Drosophila melanogaster: one gene and its partners. The protein of the gene in region 1 interacts with the protein of each later gene in a pairwise test. Each region holds a gene or a part of one and is shown in the gene's direction. Other genes may lie near its edges.

The links.
Region 2: the proteins of PIG-C (region 1) and CG34166 interact in a two-hybrid assay, tested with the Drosophila melanogaster proteins (one large-scale study listed by BioGRID).
Region 3: the proteins of PIG-C (region 1) and CG13795 interact in a two-hybrid assay, tested with the Drosophila melanogaster proteins (one large-scale study listed by BioGRID).
Region 4: the proteins of PIG-C (region 1) and CG13585 interact in a two-hybrid assay, tested with the Drosophila melanogaster proteins (one large-scale study listed by BioGRID).

What each region holds. Positions count from the first base shown.
Region 1 is NT_037436.4:3,317,484-3,320,823, reverse strand, and holds PIG-C (phosphatidylinositol glycan anchor biosynthesis class C), read left to right. Parts: upstream 1-1,591; 5' UTR 1,592-1,631; coding exon 1,632-2,132; intron 2,133-2,234; coding exon 2,235-2,594; coding exon of another isoform or gene 2,595-2,672; 3' UTR 2,673-2,796; downstream 2,797-3,340. Other genes in the region: CG12016 (uncharacterized protein), read right to left, coding at 1-79; Dpm2 (Dolichyl-phosphate mannosyltransferase subunit 2), read right to left, coding at 173-309, 919-1,027.
Region 2 is NT_033779.5:14,741,300-14,744,425, forward strand, and holds CG34166 (uncharacterized protein), read left to right. Parts: upstream 1-1,893; 5' UTR 1,894-1,996; coding exon 1,997-2,008; intron 2,009-2,082; coding exon 2,083-2,319; 3' UTR 2,320-2,580; downstream 2,581-3,126. Other genes in the region: CG42586 (uncharacterized protein), read right to left, coding at 166-423, 491-502.
Region 3 is NT_033779.5:7,722,523-7,727,900, reverse strand, and holds CG13795 (uncharacterized protein), read left to right. Parts: upstream 1-1,602; 5' UTR 1,603-1,805; coding exon 1,806-1,968; intron 1,969-2,234; coding exon 2,235-2,366; intron 2,367-2,427; coding exon 2,428-2,591; intron 2,592-2,651; coding exon 2,652-2,740; intron 2,741-2,856; coding exon 2,857-3,326; intron 3,327-3,383; coding exon 3,384-3,532; intron 3,533-3,599; coding exon 3,600-3,728; intron 3,729-3,797; coding exon 3,798-4,004; intron 4,005-4,063; coding exon 4,064-4,345; 3' UTR 4,346-4,856; downstream 4,857-5,378. Other genes in the region: CG13796 (uncharacterized protein), read left to right, coding at 1-72, 144-404; CG13794 (uncharacterized protein), read left to right, coding at 5,256-5,378.
Region 4 is NT_033778.4:24,529,780-24,533,928, forward strand, and holds CG13585 (uncharacterized protein), read left to right. Parts: upstream 1-1,814; 5' UTR 1,815-1,857; intron 1,858-1,865; exon of another isoform or gene 1,866-1,955; intron 1,956-2,332; exon of another isoform or gene 2,333-2,599; intron 2,600-2,660; 5' UTR 2,661-2,690; coding exon 2,691-2,762; intron 2,763-2,818; coding exon 2,819-2,864; intron 2,865-3,117; coding exon 3,118-3,332; 3' UTR 3,333-3,612; downstream 3,613-4,149. Other genes in the region: CG4622 (uncharacterized protein), read right to left, coding at 3,722-4,149.

The sequences.
Region 1 (3,340 bases):
AGTCGTGCAGGCTGTGGGCTAGCGTAGTTTTGCCACCACAGGTGACTCCCGAGATACCAATGACCAGCCACTGCGGCATCTTGTCCACGACTGACTATCGCTCTTCCTTGTTTTTCAGTGGAATCGTACGTTCGCGTTCGCACCGAGCAAGATAACCCCCCGGATAACCCCCTTAATCACGTTTCACTCTCAGGCTCCAGATGTGGTAAAAGGAGAACGCGGCGATGCCGCCGAGGAAGATCACCCCGAACACGGTGGGCACAATGAAAGCGTACTTCAGCGGTGGAAAGAACAGCCGAATGGGATTGCCTGTAAAAGTTTGTAAAGTATACTCATGTTCACAAGTGTTTCATTTGATAACAGGCCAGGAAAGAAAATACGTAAGTATATTGTTTTTATGATTACTCTTAATAGCAACAAATTAAAATTGTCACGGAACGGCAAAACTACGATCATGAAATATTTACGTATAAAGTGAAGAGCCAATATCCAGGCGGAAAAACTACCGAAAATAATTAGCTAAGTACACACCCAGATTTGGAACCACATAATACAGTGGTACCACTGGTTAAGCACGTTTTCGTTTTTATCGCTGATTGTACATGCCTAGACTCTACAATAGCTAACTAGTTTGACTGTGCACATATCGGGCGAATACTGTACTCCTATCATCACTAGTCGTCGGTGACCTTGACCCGAGCTTAGAGCATCGTACAGCCGCATTCCAGGTAACCCGTGTTAGGGTGGTCACCTCTGTAAAACACACGGGTTCATCCTCGTACACTGCCAACTATATATAATTGAACATCGTGACCAATTTACGCCGCGGCGTCACTTTAATTACTATACAAAAGCGCGAGATTATTCAATAAAACTTATGTATTAGCGGGTGAATAACGGAAGCCGTGGAAAACTCACCTTCATCGATGAGCATAAACGGGAGGACGGCCACCCAAAAGAAGTAATAGAAGAACACGGCGATTGCAGATATCAAAATGATTTTCCCGAGTTGCGCATTCGAAGCCATAAATAGCTATTCTCGGAAATTCTGGGGTTTCTCTGGCGAGAGAACACGCGACCGGCGATTTGTTTGTAAAACTGCTCATGGGGCGTTCTCCCCGGACGGACTGCTTCACTGTCCACTGATCGTTTACCCGCCGCACGAATCCCTAATGTTTTTTCGTAGCTGCCGATTTACTTTCGTGGCGTAATTGTAAACAAAACAAACAAGTGCGTCAAAAAATTTCCGAATTCAAGGTAGTGGTGGTTCAACCACTCGAACAAGTATCGATAGCTCGAGTAACTGTTTTGCGCAACACCAGCGGATGTTCTTATCGATGTAGGCGAGTCACTTCTGCTTGGGGATAATTTTCAGAATAAGATTTGTATATTATTAGCTTGCTGTAAAACCCCTTGTTTAGATAATGAACAGTTTATTAATATTTCAAATTAAACTATCATCATCGATATTTCAAGTGAAACATGCATCACTATGACAGTGTGACCAGCACTTACTTTCAATACTTTTCAGTGGATAAAACAATATCGATATGTCGATAGTAACTGATACTATCGAACGCTGATAACCCAGCACTAATAGAATTGTAAACAAACAATTTTTAAATTTAAGAATGGTAAAAAATGGGCAATCGAAACGGCAGCCATGGGTGAAGAACCTGTACTCCAACCGGGAATATCCGGACAACTACACGGATGCCAGCTTTCTGAAGGATCTGCGCACGAATCTACATTGTAGAATATACACGTTCGGCGAAGCAATTGCCGGTATTACAGTGCTTAATAATCAGATCTCCTGCATCACCGGCTTCCTAATACTCTACCAACTTATGCTCAGCGACAGCGTGTCGCCCACCACGATCCTGGTACCCAGTTGCGGGATCACAGGCATTGGATACCTGTGCTACCGAGGAAGGAGTCTCAGCTGGGCCCTGCTGGGCGAGGATTCCAAAACCCTGGTCACAGTGGTCCTCTTCGGCTACTTATTCTCACCGATGCTGCACACCCTAACGCAGGCCATCAGCACGGACACCATATACACAATGACCTTCTTTGTCCTTCTGGGCAACCTGATATTTGGACACTATGGATTGGATGTAGCCATGGTCTCTAAGGTAGGCAATATTTACGGCTATTGGTGTTGATTGTATATTGATCTTGACTCCACCTCAGAATCCTATATAATACAAATACTTCTTGTTCCATGTTAAGCGCAGGCCGTCTCGTTGAATGCCGCCATATTTGGAGCAATTTGCTTAGCCTCCCGCCTGCCGACTTCGTATCACGCCTTCGTGCTCCTTGTCGAGGCTGCCGTCTTTTTCGTCCTTTATCCCATAATGACGGAAGCGAATTGGCATGCTGGATTCATGTTGCCTATATTTGCAATATGCTGTATGGCGCTGTACTGTATATCGCGCCCGGTGCTCTATCTCTACGCCTCCACCACCATTTTCATCAACTTTGTCTGCCCGTTCATATTCGTGTGGCAGCAGCAGTACAAGTTCAACATTCACGGGCCCTGGGACGAGGCCATCGTGGAGGAGAACACCGAGGAGAACCTGGATGGGAACTTATAGCGCCAGCTGCGCTTCTCAGAACAGTTGCCGCCACGACTGGGTAGCGGCGACGTCGAGGAGCACTTCACTGATCGCTAAACCATTGCACGCTTATTTTTATAACTTTGTAAACTCATTCCAAGCCATTGATGTTAATCTTTTGTATCATGTTATATCTGTTAGTTTGTAAGTAGCGTTTTAATAAATTATACTTTTTGTGTTTAAAACCATAGCACTTTTAAATTTGTGTAATTTTTAGGGGACTTTCTTTTGGTCCTATGAATGGCTTTTTAAATAAATTGTTATCAACTTAAGGCAAAGGTTTTTCAATTGAAAGATAATGGAGTTAAATTAACAGGGTGAGTTTTTTGGCTTGGTTGTGTTTTACTCAGACTAAAAATAAATTTAGTTAAAGATTATTTATCGTCAGCGACTAAAACCCGTTTCGTAGATAACAATTAAACATTCGCATGAGCATACATTGAATATATTTGACCCTATCTAACGCAAATAAATTGAAGCAATTGCTTTAATAATAGACTATGGAATATGGATGAGTGACATCTGTATTAAGTGCACGCCCTTGGGTTTCCCAGAAGTTCCTAGTCTAACCAGAGATTTAATTATTTTAGTATTCTGCGTTTTACCTATCTATGTAATGCATGCTGTCCTGCAAGCTACTTCCACAGTTTCAGTAAGCATTCTTGAGAGATAAATAATCCAGATTACATCATATAGTATCGCTGTACGCAGCGCTCTATTTTCTG
Region 2 (3,126 bases), on another chromosome or scaffold:
GGCACTATTTAATAAATATAAATGAATAATAAATATAAATTTATTTTCATAAAACTCATAAATTTTCGAGAACGATAAAGTAAAAAATTCCAATTGTTTTTTTATCATAAAGGTGTCATATTTTTATTGAGGTATCTGCGTTAAGACGGTGCTATGAATTGGTTTTTACCAGCCTTGTTGCTGTTGCTGCTGCTGATCACCGAATCCACCTCCGAATCCACCTCCAAATCCTCCTTGCTGCTGCTGCTGCTGATCACCGAATCCACCTCCGAATCCACCGCCAAATCCTCCTTGCTGCTGCTGCTGATCACCAAATCCACCTCCAAATCCTCCTTGCTGCTGCTGCTGCTGATCACCGAATCCACCGCCGAATCCAAACTGAGGTAGGGCAGCGGCCGCGGCGAATAGGGCAATGAAGAGGATCTGTAACAATATTAAAATCAACTTAGTTCTTAAAGGTTTTTCTTTGAAGCGTATATGTAAAACGTACCAAAAACTTCATGGTGCTGATACTTCGGTTAGTCTTGCTAATGTGAATAAAATTTTTGGACGCCTCCGATCTTTTATACTCTCCTGCAATCTCATCATGTCGTCACGCGCCGAAGTATTATCAATGTTCTGACAAAATCAAGTACAATTAACCCAACAAAAATACGAAAAAAATTTCCAGACGTCTGGGAAATTAATATTTGAGCACTGTATCAATGCCTATGCTCAACGGGGGGAACCCTTCAACATCAATCTTATCTGGGAAGTCGAGCCTAATCTAATAAGTCCGCAACAGTTGCTAAGAAAAACTAAGGGCGACTTAGAAGAAGACGTTGTTTGAGATTACTTTAGATCATTTATGTTCCGTTTTCACGCATCACAAACGTGTTACGGCAACAAATGTTCTTGTTTGCTTTTCTGGGTTATCATTAGACTTTCGAAATGAGGAGGGATAATTAAGTATGAAATCCTTGTAATCATGGATTAATTTTTTATACATACGTATAATTATGTTATGTCTTTGAATTTTAGCGCTTAACAGGTTAGACCACTATAGTCGCATTCCTCGATTATCAGATACCCATTTCTTAGCTAATAGAAGAACTAAGATATTTACAAGACAAGACTAGATGAAATCAATGAAGAATCTAGAGTGTTGTTGGCACAGGTTCTGAAAGAATTGGAACTATTTAGAGGTCTGAATCTCATTCAGTTCATACAGACAGGCTTACAGACAGATGGCCAAACGAATACGGCTAGATAGACTCCGCTGGTGATGCTGGTGAAGAATATATATATTCTGTATAGGTAAAGGTTCGGCAACGCCTTCTTCGAACTCCCACAGACTTTTTAAAGAATTTGGTATACTCAATTACTCCACAAGTACCGTCTATAAAAACATAGAAATTATGTGTCTTAAAAAATTGTATTTATTAAACTAATAAGACTAGTTTATTTCTTTACATCCTTTTTTTTAAAGAAATATTATTTGTATTTTTTTTCGCTGTGTTTGGTTACATTCAAAAACATTTAAAATTTTCCAAACCAATTGTACTTTTTTTGAGAGCAAATTCAGCCTAAAAGAATACTGTTAAGCTTGTGAATTTAAATGCAGCGCTAAAAAGTCTTCGCCGTTTCTTATACTTTTTTTTTAGTGGCAATTGAAAAGCTTTTAATCGGTATATAGCTAATCAGCTCCAAAATAAGCAAAACAAATTAACAAGAAGAAAGATCAGGCTAAAGGTCCTCAACCCCTGATCAGAAATCAGCTCTGTTAATGCAGTGCTAGAATTTTGCTACCTCATCGCAGACGCTTAATCTAATAATCACAGCTTGGGGTATATAGATTTCGATAGGAAATAATAAGCAAAAAATAAGAAAATTTTGTTTTTATTACTTTGTTTTGGTGCAAATCGCTCCATTCGGCTTCCACCTGCTATAAAAGCCCTGCCATTTACATAGAATTAGTTAGAACGCTTTCGACAGTGTAAACAATCAATCTACCAAAATGAAATTCTTCGTAAGCTCTGCAAATTCCTTTCAAGGATTTTGGTGGGCTCGGAATTAAACATTGTTTTATTTCTCTTCTTTTAGATTGTTTTCTTCGCCTTGATCGCTGTGGTCTTTGCCGCTGGCTATGGACAACAGGGTGGACACGGCCAGGGTGGACGTGGTCAGCAAGGATTCGGACAAGGTGGAAATGGCCAACAAGGATTCGGACAGGGTGGACACGGCCAGCAAGGATTCGGACAGGGTGGACACGGCCAGCAAGGATTCGGCGGACAAGGAGGACATGGCCAGCAAGGATTCGGACACGGTGGACGTTACTAAAATACAGCCTTAATAAAATAATATTTTCCAAATTTAAAAACCCTTAAATTAGTTAAGTTTTTAATGTCGCAACACAAAATGTACAGAAATTACTATTTACAATAGCTAAAAAGCCGATGTATTTTCTTCTTTCACGTAAATTCTTGTAAGTTTAGTAAAGCAACAGTTAGAGTTGTTAAAATTTTACACAAGCAGCGGAGTTTTTCGTTTCCTATTATATTATATTATTATATTATAATATATTATATTATTGTATTTGTTATATAGCCACGAAATTTTTGGCAGTTTGTGGGCGTGTCTACAACAAATAACAAACGTGCGCTGCGTCTATGCCCCTGGAATCTGTATGCCTAAGCTCAACTTTTTAGCTTTTATAGTTCCTCTAATCTCGACGGACGGACAGGCAGGCGGACGAACGTGGACAGATCGAACGAGAACCTTCTCATGTTCAATAAGAGCAGTGTTCTCTGTCATTCAATTAGGTCTGGGAATTCATCGATGCATCAGCAAATTCTCTTGAAGAAACATTGCAAGGCTGCAAATATCAACTTCTAGTGAATACTGATGATAGGGAAATGTAATTACTCTCAACAAAATTTCGAGTACGACCATTTTTACGATCTATTTAGAAATATAAAAAAACATGCATATACGTTTGAGGTGAGGTCCTAAGTAAAAATATGTGTACCTTAAATGGTTATAATAAGTATTTTAAATGATTGTATTTGGTAGGGTATTTAATGATAAGGTGTAAGCTCCTTTAAATTTTCGCTATATAAGTGGAAGTTTGCAATAGAGAGCTTCATC
Region 3 (5,378 bases), on another chromosome or scaffold:
GGCAAAACGATCTCAAGTTTCAAAATTTTCTTTATACGCTTTGCCACGCCCATTTTTCTGGGACTGTGTCTGGTGAGTAGTGGTTATTATTATAAAATTATTTGTATATAGTTAATGACTGATATTATTGGAATTTCTTGCAGTTTCAACTAACCTATTTATTTACGCGTGATCGCATACACGATGTCCTGATTTATGTGAGTCAGGGCTTGATTCTCCTAACGGCCATATCTTATATGGTTTACAAGGTATGTCGGACGAATGGCGATTGGCGCCAGCGATTGCAACAGTGCCTCGCACCACATGACTGGCATCCGGTGGATGCGGACAACCGGCGATTCTACGAGGAAATCATGGGCATCTCGGAGATGCTGGTTATAGATGCCAATGCCAACACCACATAGTGCCTAAATATCGAATACTCCCTAGATCAAAACTCAATACTTACAGCGTCGTCACTTGACAAATGAACTGAACTGAACTCACTTTTATTATACACCCATATGCGGTCACATTCACACATGCAAAAAATACAATAACAAACACGCACACTAGTATATAAATAAGCGGATCCATTGGCAATGGCGATTGTTAGTTGTTGTAATGAAGTTGTACTGATATTTTCCAAAAGCTAGCTATAGTGAACAATATACTGGTGATATTTAGTAGTTTCCTACTAAAATGTTCAACAAGCTTCGGCCAAAAATATTGTTATGAACTAATAAAATTTTACCTTTTAGGCATTGAAAATGTTGAAGTCTTTTTTTGAAGTTGGTAAACGTATAAGGAAAAGAGTTAAATTTATGATATACGGCTGTCAGCACTTTAAACTATTTAATGTCGCACTAATAATAATAATAATTTTGGAATTTTAGTTATAGAATATATGACGTTTAGAGTAGATTGTTAGAAGCATGTTTTTAAATGCATGCAAAATAATAATAGTTTGAAAAATATATGAGGTAATTGTATATTATTACCTAAAACTAATCGCTAATAACAAACAAACATAAGAAAAAACAAATATTAAGACATTATCAATGCGTTATTGAAATCAACAGCCAGGGCGTTATGGGGTTTACTTGCTTTTGCATTGCTGTCTGAGTTTTCCCCCAGATTTGATAACTTTGCGGCTGTCTTGTTTGTCATCCCATTTCCCGAGCACGACCATATCAGTTTCCAGTTCCAAAATCGAAATGAACTTGGCAATGCACGACGATAGGCGCACATAAGAGAGACAGGCACAGATATAAGAGCTCTAATAATCTGAATTTAAAGCAAAATAACAATAAATGCAAATTTATGGTCGAGATCGGAAATACACTTACAAAACGTGTAATAACAAATTTACAATTATTTTGATAACCGAAAGCTTGAAACTATAGATAACTCGCTTAGATATATATTTTCCTAGCATATCTTTATTTTGACAACAGATCTGTTTGAAATTAGAGGGAGGTTTCAAATGAATCTCGGTATAAAGATACCCCACTTCCATAGTAATAACTGTGTGATTAAAGACCAAGTGTGCATCGCCTAAGTTGGGGTATCTCATTCAAGAGGGATGAGCTAAACAGAGGCCTGCTGTCGGAATCGGATTCAGTTTGCCGGCATCGGTTCTACTAATTAGTCCGTCAATTTAGAGTAAAACGCTCGCGGATCGGTTGCAGAAAAAAAATATATATATACTAATATTACCTCTGCGGGAGTGTAAAATTAGATCGTAGTTATATATACTTATTTACAAAATTTGCTTAAATCCATTCTCGCCCACATTTTGGCGGTAATATTGTGGGTAGTTCAACATGGTATATGAAACATCGTATGATACCGGGCATAAACCCTTTTCCCCCGATCTGAATCGAGGAAAATGGGATAAGCCAACGGACTTTATGTTCGCCTGCTTTGGATTAGCCTTGAAGTTGGATGTCTTTGTGGCATCGTTTTGGATGTTCTTCGACATGGGCAGTAAGTAACGCAAGGGCGACTACGTATATTATATTGCTGATAAGGTTCGGATTTAGACTAATCTGTGGAGGGGCGGTGCTCTGCTAATGTTCTCTTACCTTCTCATCTGACATACATACAAAACAATGCCTAATTCTGTCGATATTTATGTATTTAATGTAATAATTGTGTCTCTTTATACAGCACAAGAGATAACAGTTTATACATCAGAATTTAATCTTTATCTTTGAATGCATTTATTTAAATACACTATTTGCTTGGACCAGTTCTTGGAATACTGCCGTACTTTGTATATATGTCCATTTACTTGGTTCCCATCATGGTCATTCACTCCTTCATGGGTCAGTTCTCCAGCAGTGGATTCATCTCCGCCTTTCGCCTGTCGCCTTTCTTTAAAGGTACGTACGTAACCGAGAAGTTTAAACAGATATTAAATATTGATCGAAATATCAATTTCAGGCATGGGATATGTGAGTGGATTTTTAACTATCTCCATGCTAATTTACTATAGCATTTTTGCTGCGGTTCCACTTCTGTTCATAATAAACTCATTTCGACCCACTTTACCTTGGAGCTGTGAGGGCTTGAGTTCTTGGCACAATGGAAGTGCAACGCTATCTAGTGTATGAAATTTGTGTATGACTAAATTGAATTGAAGACTAAGTACATTTTTTATATTTAAGTCTTGTAATAAGACACTGATCTTGGAGGACTTTTCGGAATACAACAGATCTCACCAGCTGCTCCATGTACCATCCGTGCTCTATTTTCAGTAAGTGCTCCTATTTATATAGCAATAAAACATTACCTAATTAATCCAATGCAAATATTTTAATATTATTTTAAGAATTGTTTAAAAATAATTTCTTTTTAACTCTATGTTTACAGAAATCACTATGATAGCATGCAACAGGATGCGGTTCCGGATTGGTATAAGGATTACGAGTTGTCTTGGCATTTTGTTGGCCTATTCGCAATCATTTGGGTTGTGATTGCATTTATTTTTTATAAATTCTCAGAGACGGCCAAGTTTGGAAAACTTATACGCTACATGGTGATTGTTACCCTGGTTCTTCTTTTAGTGTGCTTTGTGCGATTCCTGTTCCTTCCGGGAGCTCTTAACGGGCTCCACAGATATGTGACTCCAAAGGCAAGTGACATGGCCATGGGAGTAGTGTCCACATTCATCATGGTTCTTCATGCATTCGGAGCTGGTTGGGGCAGTGTAATAACTCTGTCCAGTTTCAACGGTTTCAAGACTGACATCATGTCGTATAGTTGGATTATTTCCTTTGGACAGATCTTCATTTATATCATGTTTGGCATGGTTTCCTTTATGCTGGAACACTACTTTAATGGTAATAGCACTTTATAGATTTGCAATATCTTTACTGTATTGAAGTTATCCCTTTCAGAACTATCCGATGTTGATGATAACGGACATGTTTTGAGCCATTGGCTGCTATATTTGTCAAGTGCTTCTGCCTTGTCCACAATGGCTTGGCCAAACCTATGGACTTTTATATACTATTCTATGCTTTTAATTGCTGCTCTAATTGTGATGGTGATGATAATCTACACAATTAATTTTTATTTTTCACGCTACTAAACTTAAATAATTTTATTTTCAGACGACGCAAATCTTCACGGTTTTGCAAAGTTTGTTTGATGAGTTCGAAGTACTTAGAGTGAGAAAACAAGAGGTGACCTTTGGGCTAATTGGAGGTATTGCACTCTGCTCCTTTTACTTTTGCACCAATGTAAGTACTTAAGTTTACACAAAAAAGATATATTATTAAGAAATATTTTAAACAATTTTCCGTTTCTAGCATGGCATTATTTTCTTTTCGGCCTTGGGTCTTGATGCCATTTTCTCACATAGTTTGCTGCACTTACTGCTCCTTTTGGTGGTTTTGTGGATCTATGGTCGCGAACGATTCCAGCGAGATATTGAGTTCATGTTGGGCCAGCCCTTTGCCTCCTGGAAGGTTTTCATACTCCGCTTTATAGCTCCAATAATTTTAGTCATTTGTCTGGTTAGTTAGTTAGTTAGTTGCTTGTTGCTTTGAATAATCATATTCTTTTAACTAACTAGCTCGCGGGAATTGCTCTGTCCATATCGGAGCACTCTTATTCCACAACAGTGGTCTTCGTGATGTCAATTGTCCTCGTGGTTTTGCCCATTCTGGCCATTCCTGGATATGGATTTTACTACCTCTACCAGAGCACGGGCACCTTTTGCGAACGCTTTAAACGCACCTGCCGACCCACCGATTGGTATCCGGTTGAGATGGAGCACCGCCAGCAGTACGAGGAAGCTGTGGACAACACGGAGATGACCCACCAACTCTTCGAGGTTACTGAGGAGGTCAACTAGTTACTGATGCACTTAGAAATGTACTAAATATAAATATATGAGTAATTTTAATGCGTATTTAAAAAAAGGTATGCATATATATACAATCATATTGTGAAAGGTGGAAATGCTACACTTATTGCACTATGCTTACAGCAATGGGTTTTACAGCGTTTATCTCACCTGAATCGATCAGGTTCACACGTGTGACTGTCCAGAGAAACGTAGATATCTCGGAAAAGTTAATAAAGTTGAGCTTAAAAAATCTGTGACGTCCACAATTATAATGCTTACATAGTTTGTCTATCGAGAGAGAGAGAGAGCTTTTAAAAACGTGTAATTATTAATGTAGTTATTGATTAATTATGGTTATAAGCAAAGTACTCTTATTGACGTCATGTTAGTGTATAGAAATGCCTTTTAATTTCAGAATGCCACTTCGGTGACTCACTACTTTTAGGAACGGTATTAGTTTCATTGAGATGTTTGTTTTAACATATCCAAATTAATATACATCATATTACATTAAATTATTAGGGATCTTCTTACTGTCTGTTTGAACTTGTTCACATTACATAGTATTACAAAGTAATACCGACTATTTATTCAAAAAATTATGCTTAACATTATTTCTTAAAAGTGTATTTGATGGCCGATCTAGTGTGAATGGTCCGGGATAGGCTATGAGCATCTCAGTCCAGTGGAATCAGCTACACTGCGGTTTATCAGCGGAATCGGATTTAGTTCGTCCGCATCGCTGCTACTAATTAGTTCGTCAATTTAAAACGCTCGCGAAATGTTTGTTGTTTGCCAAAGCTTTTAATAATAAGTACCTCCATCGGCGTGTGAAATTGGATATATTTCTTTTTATACAAAAGTTTTTCAAATTCCTTTGCTCACACAATTTACCGGGCTATACTAACGTCACAAAATGATATATGAAACATCGTATGATAGTGGGCACAAACCCTTTTCCCCCGACTTGAAGAGAGGAAAGTGGGATAAGCCCACCGACTATATATTTGCCTGCTTTGGATTAGCCCTTAAACTGGAT
Region 4 (4,149 bases), on another chromosome or scaffold:
CTGGTCATCGCCAAGTACGGCAGACTGTTGGACACGCAGTAGGATTCGAGGGTAAAACCCACGGCCTGGCGAATCATGTTGAAGCGCGGCGTCTTCAGCAGGTACTGCTGCATCAGGATCAGCTCCAGGCGGTCCTCGTACAATATGTATATGTAGCTCTGATTGAGCCCATCCCGGTACGCCTTTAGCAGGGTGGCGTTCAAGCTCAAGCTGTTCCTGCGGAGCCGTTCGGGCAGGAAGGTTTTCGCCTTCATCTGACTTCTGTAGTACTCGTCGTGCAGACTGGGGTAGGGAGCCCTGGCCAGATCCTCCAGAGTGTTGTACTCCTCGTCGTACAGCCCGGATGTGAGGATGCTGGAGAGCGTGGCCAAGTAGACGTTGGTCAGTATAAAGCCTCCGATCGTTAGAATGCCATGGATGGCCACGTCCCTCCAGCCAGCAACTCTGATTTTCTGGTGGCAGTTGTATAGGATGTGGCTGAGGCTGTACAGCAAGCACTTTCCAATCTCGACTCGTGCTCCTCGCGCAGCCAGATGCAGCATTACGGTTCCGTACAAGACAGTCGAAATCACGACCGCCCAAAGGGTCCAGCCGAAGGGCTTGGAGTAGTACAGATAACTGGAAATCGGACGGGCGTGGGGAGCCATGAAGTACTCGCGGATAATCGAAAGTGGTGCTGTGTAGGCCACTTCCAAGCTGAAATCTTTGAAGTAGCAAACAATGTCGATCTTTTTTGTATGTAGCATTTCAGCAACGGCCAAGTATACATCATATTCCGGCAGATCGGGTATGGGTACACTCTCGATGGTGGCGTTATAGCGATAAGTCAGCTCCTTGACCGCTGTGAACAAATATCCTGCTCGCACCAAGCCACCCTGTTCGTTGGAGTACTCAAAGTCCCGAGGAGCTAATGTGCTTCGAAGTATGCGGACAGGAAAGCCTTGAAAGTTTCGAATTATCCTTGCGCGATCGAAATACTCGGACACATTTGATAGGCTGATCGGTTGAATGCTAGGATACGGTAGGTAGCTGTAGAGGCCCTTTCCGCTCATCAGAATTACATTTACGAATCCCTCCTTGAAGCAGTAGGTGTAGAGGTCCTGTTTCGGAAATCCTGGTTCCTCATTGCTCAGGAACACTATGTGCAGCTCATGGAGCTCGTCCAACAAGCGTGGCAGAAGACTGGCAACCAGTGGATTCAGATCTGAATCCATTACACTTACTATGATAAGGGTACTCTCTGTGAAGTTTCCCCGAATTCTAAGATCTCTAGCTTCCCTCGAGTTGGAGGAGAGTAAAATTCTCGGCGAGTCCAATTTGTGGAGTATCTCTGAGGTGGCGCAGCACTCAAAATCGATGAACACATTGAGCTCCGTTTGGAGAGCCAAATTGAGATCCTGGAGTACTTGGACTTGCATGGATTCCGAGTCAGAAGCCCCGACCAAGCACAGAAGAACTGACACCAGCAGAAAAGAAATCATTTTAATTACCATAAGGCAGCGGGAAAATGCTTTTATAGGCTGCGTAGAATGCCCACATGACAAGGCAAAAATATTTTCAGGTTGCATTTAAAAGGATAATGGATTAATTGCCATCCACCCCATCAAACCAAAGCTCAAGAAGACAAATGTCATATTACTCTTCCATTAACCTAGTGTATATTAGCAAATAACTCAAGTCATTTTAGCTGTTTGAGTTGCAGGATGAAGTAGATTCCAAATCAAACAGTTTTGAATTTCCCGCCCACTGAATGGAAACTTTCAAGCACTGGCAGCTCCACCGATATATGCCTCCAGTTCTGGTCGCTGTCCAGCACTACCATATGTGCACTTTTTATTCCCATTCCAATTCCAGTTGGTAAGAAAAGTGTAATTGTTACGTTGTGGCAGTGAAATTGTATCATAATTCTTTTACCATTCCAAATCGGAGCATATTAGAGTGTTAAGACCCGCAAGGTAACGACACTTAATTGCCAAACGCCCGCAGATGAGTTTGTTTACGCCCCCTTTGTGGCAACAAAAACAAAAGGGGAAAGTTGTGTTTACGTTTTCTAAAGCCAGATACCGTTTTCGGGGTGGTTTTGGTTCAATCGGGGAGTTTCCAACGGAAAGGCCTTGTAATTAAGTGTGATAAGGGCCCTCGCTCTCGCTGGCAATTAAAACTAGACGTCTTGTTTCTTCTGATAATCGTGTTTTTGAGTCAAATACCTACACACCAAGCAATCGGGTTTACGTGTGTGTATACACTAAGTGGGGCGGCATTGGGGTGGACCCTTTGCACAGTTGAATCCCTCTGCTCAACTGGCGTTAGCTGTCAAGTGTGTAAGTTATTTGCTCCCAGCTGCCCCAAAATTGAAGCTGTGCTCTGTGGGACCCAAGTGGCAGAACAACATAGTCCAGACATATAGGTACCAGTACATACGACCGACTCGCTCCGCACTCGCGATTTGAAAGCCCCTTTATCGGAACCATATGAGTATGCATGTATAAAACTCGATTGCGGCCGCAAATAAATTAGTCTCAGTTCGGTTCGTTTTGTTTGGAAACAGTTCTCTCGATCTCCGAACAGACACGTCAGTGTCAGTGGCAGCAGGCAAAATGTAGTATTTGCAATTCCACACTCAGTTTTCCCTATAGTATAACCTACTCCGATCTCCGCAGCGCAACTCAGACTAAGGCTAATCCGAAACCATGTCCGACGACTTCGATGGCTGCGAGTGCGTCTGGTCGCAGGAGTATGCGATGCAACGCCTCATCAACTTCGTAAGTTTCTGTGCGCGCAGCTCCCAGCTCATTTGATCAAGTGTACTTCCTTATAGATACGACAAAACCAGAATGCCTGCGGGGACAACGAGTGTTACGATGGTCAGTATCAATGTCTCACGTCTTTTTTTAAGTATGAAAACATTTAGATTTATAATACATTTTGCACAGCATGAAATCAGTAACAGTCTTTTACTCAAGTGAAGATTGTAACATTCATTTTTCGCATTTGCATTTTTAAAACAATTCAGTATAGACTAGGGTCATACGCGCTTAGTGATAAGTTGCCAAAAAGTATGCAGTGCTTCTACTTGCGGACTATAGTATAAACCATAACTAATCCATCCGTCCTCAGTCACCGGACGCACTCCGCACCAGGCGCAGATCGCCGGACGCGGCGATGACAGCGGCTTCTCCGTCGCCATGATCTTCCTGATCGTGGCCATGTTCATGTACATAGTGAACCCGAGTACCTGGGGCAACTTCACCAGCAACAAGCGAGCTGGCGGCCGACGCGACAATAACCAGGACGGCTCTCCGCCGCAGCCTCCTCCGCCGGCCATCAACTAGGCGACTCCGAGGACCCCTGCTTCTACGAAACCTGAGCATCCACAACACAATTTTCAGACCGCAATTCCTTGTTTTGTTAATTCTCCCACTATTGGGACAGAAACCACGGATAGAACCAAATCAATCGACTTGGTGGCATCCATTCGCACGTTTACACAGAACACAGATTAGGCAAATTATACACCTCTTACATTGTACAAAACACAAAACCGCGCACTCTGAAACACACCGGCTTATCAACTAACATATTTGGACACTTTTTAAAAGACTTTGGAAAACTAACCGCTTTCCTTGTGTATTTCCTTTGTACAAGAGGCTTTAAAATCTTTAAAATGTACATATGGTGGGCGGGAATTGATGTGGTTTGTATTGCCGTCTCCCTGGTCTCGTCAGTTCTCGTTCTGCAGTTTCACCATCTTTTCGCGTACGTTCTTTAGCAGATCCTTCATTTGTTCGTACTTTCCCGTGGAGTCGGGCAGGTTTTCAAAGTTGATCACATCGCTGACGCCCACCTTAAAGTTGCTGCCCACAGGCAGTCTGTCGTAAACGGAGAATTTCAGCAAAGGCGTGCCCTCATAAGACGCCTTAAAGGGAGTCGAGGGTGCTGATCGGGACTGCTCATTATTTCCGGACTCGGCAGCAGATGGACCAACCTCCGTCTCAGACGTGTCATCCAGGTCGGTTGGTGATTTCGATTCATTCGCTGTCGTGTTATGCGACGCATTAACATCCAGCTCTTGGAGGAGCTCCTCCTGCTGGGCCTTCAAATCTTCCAGGCTTGGAGATGGCGAGCGCGCTGTCAGTTCGCCATCTTCGC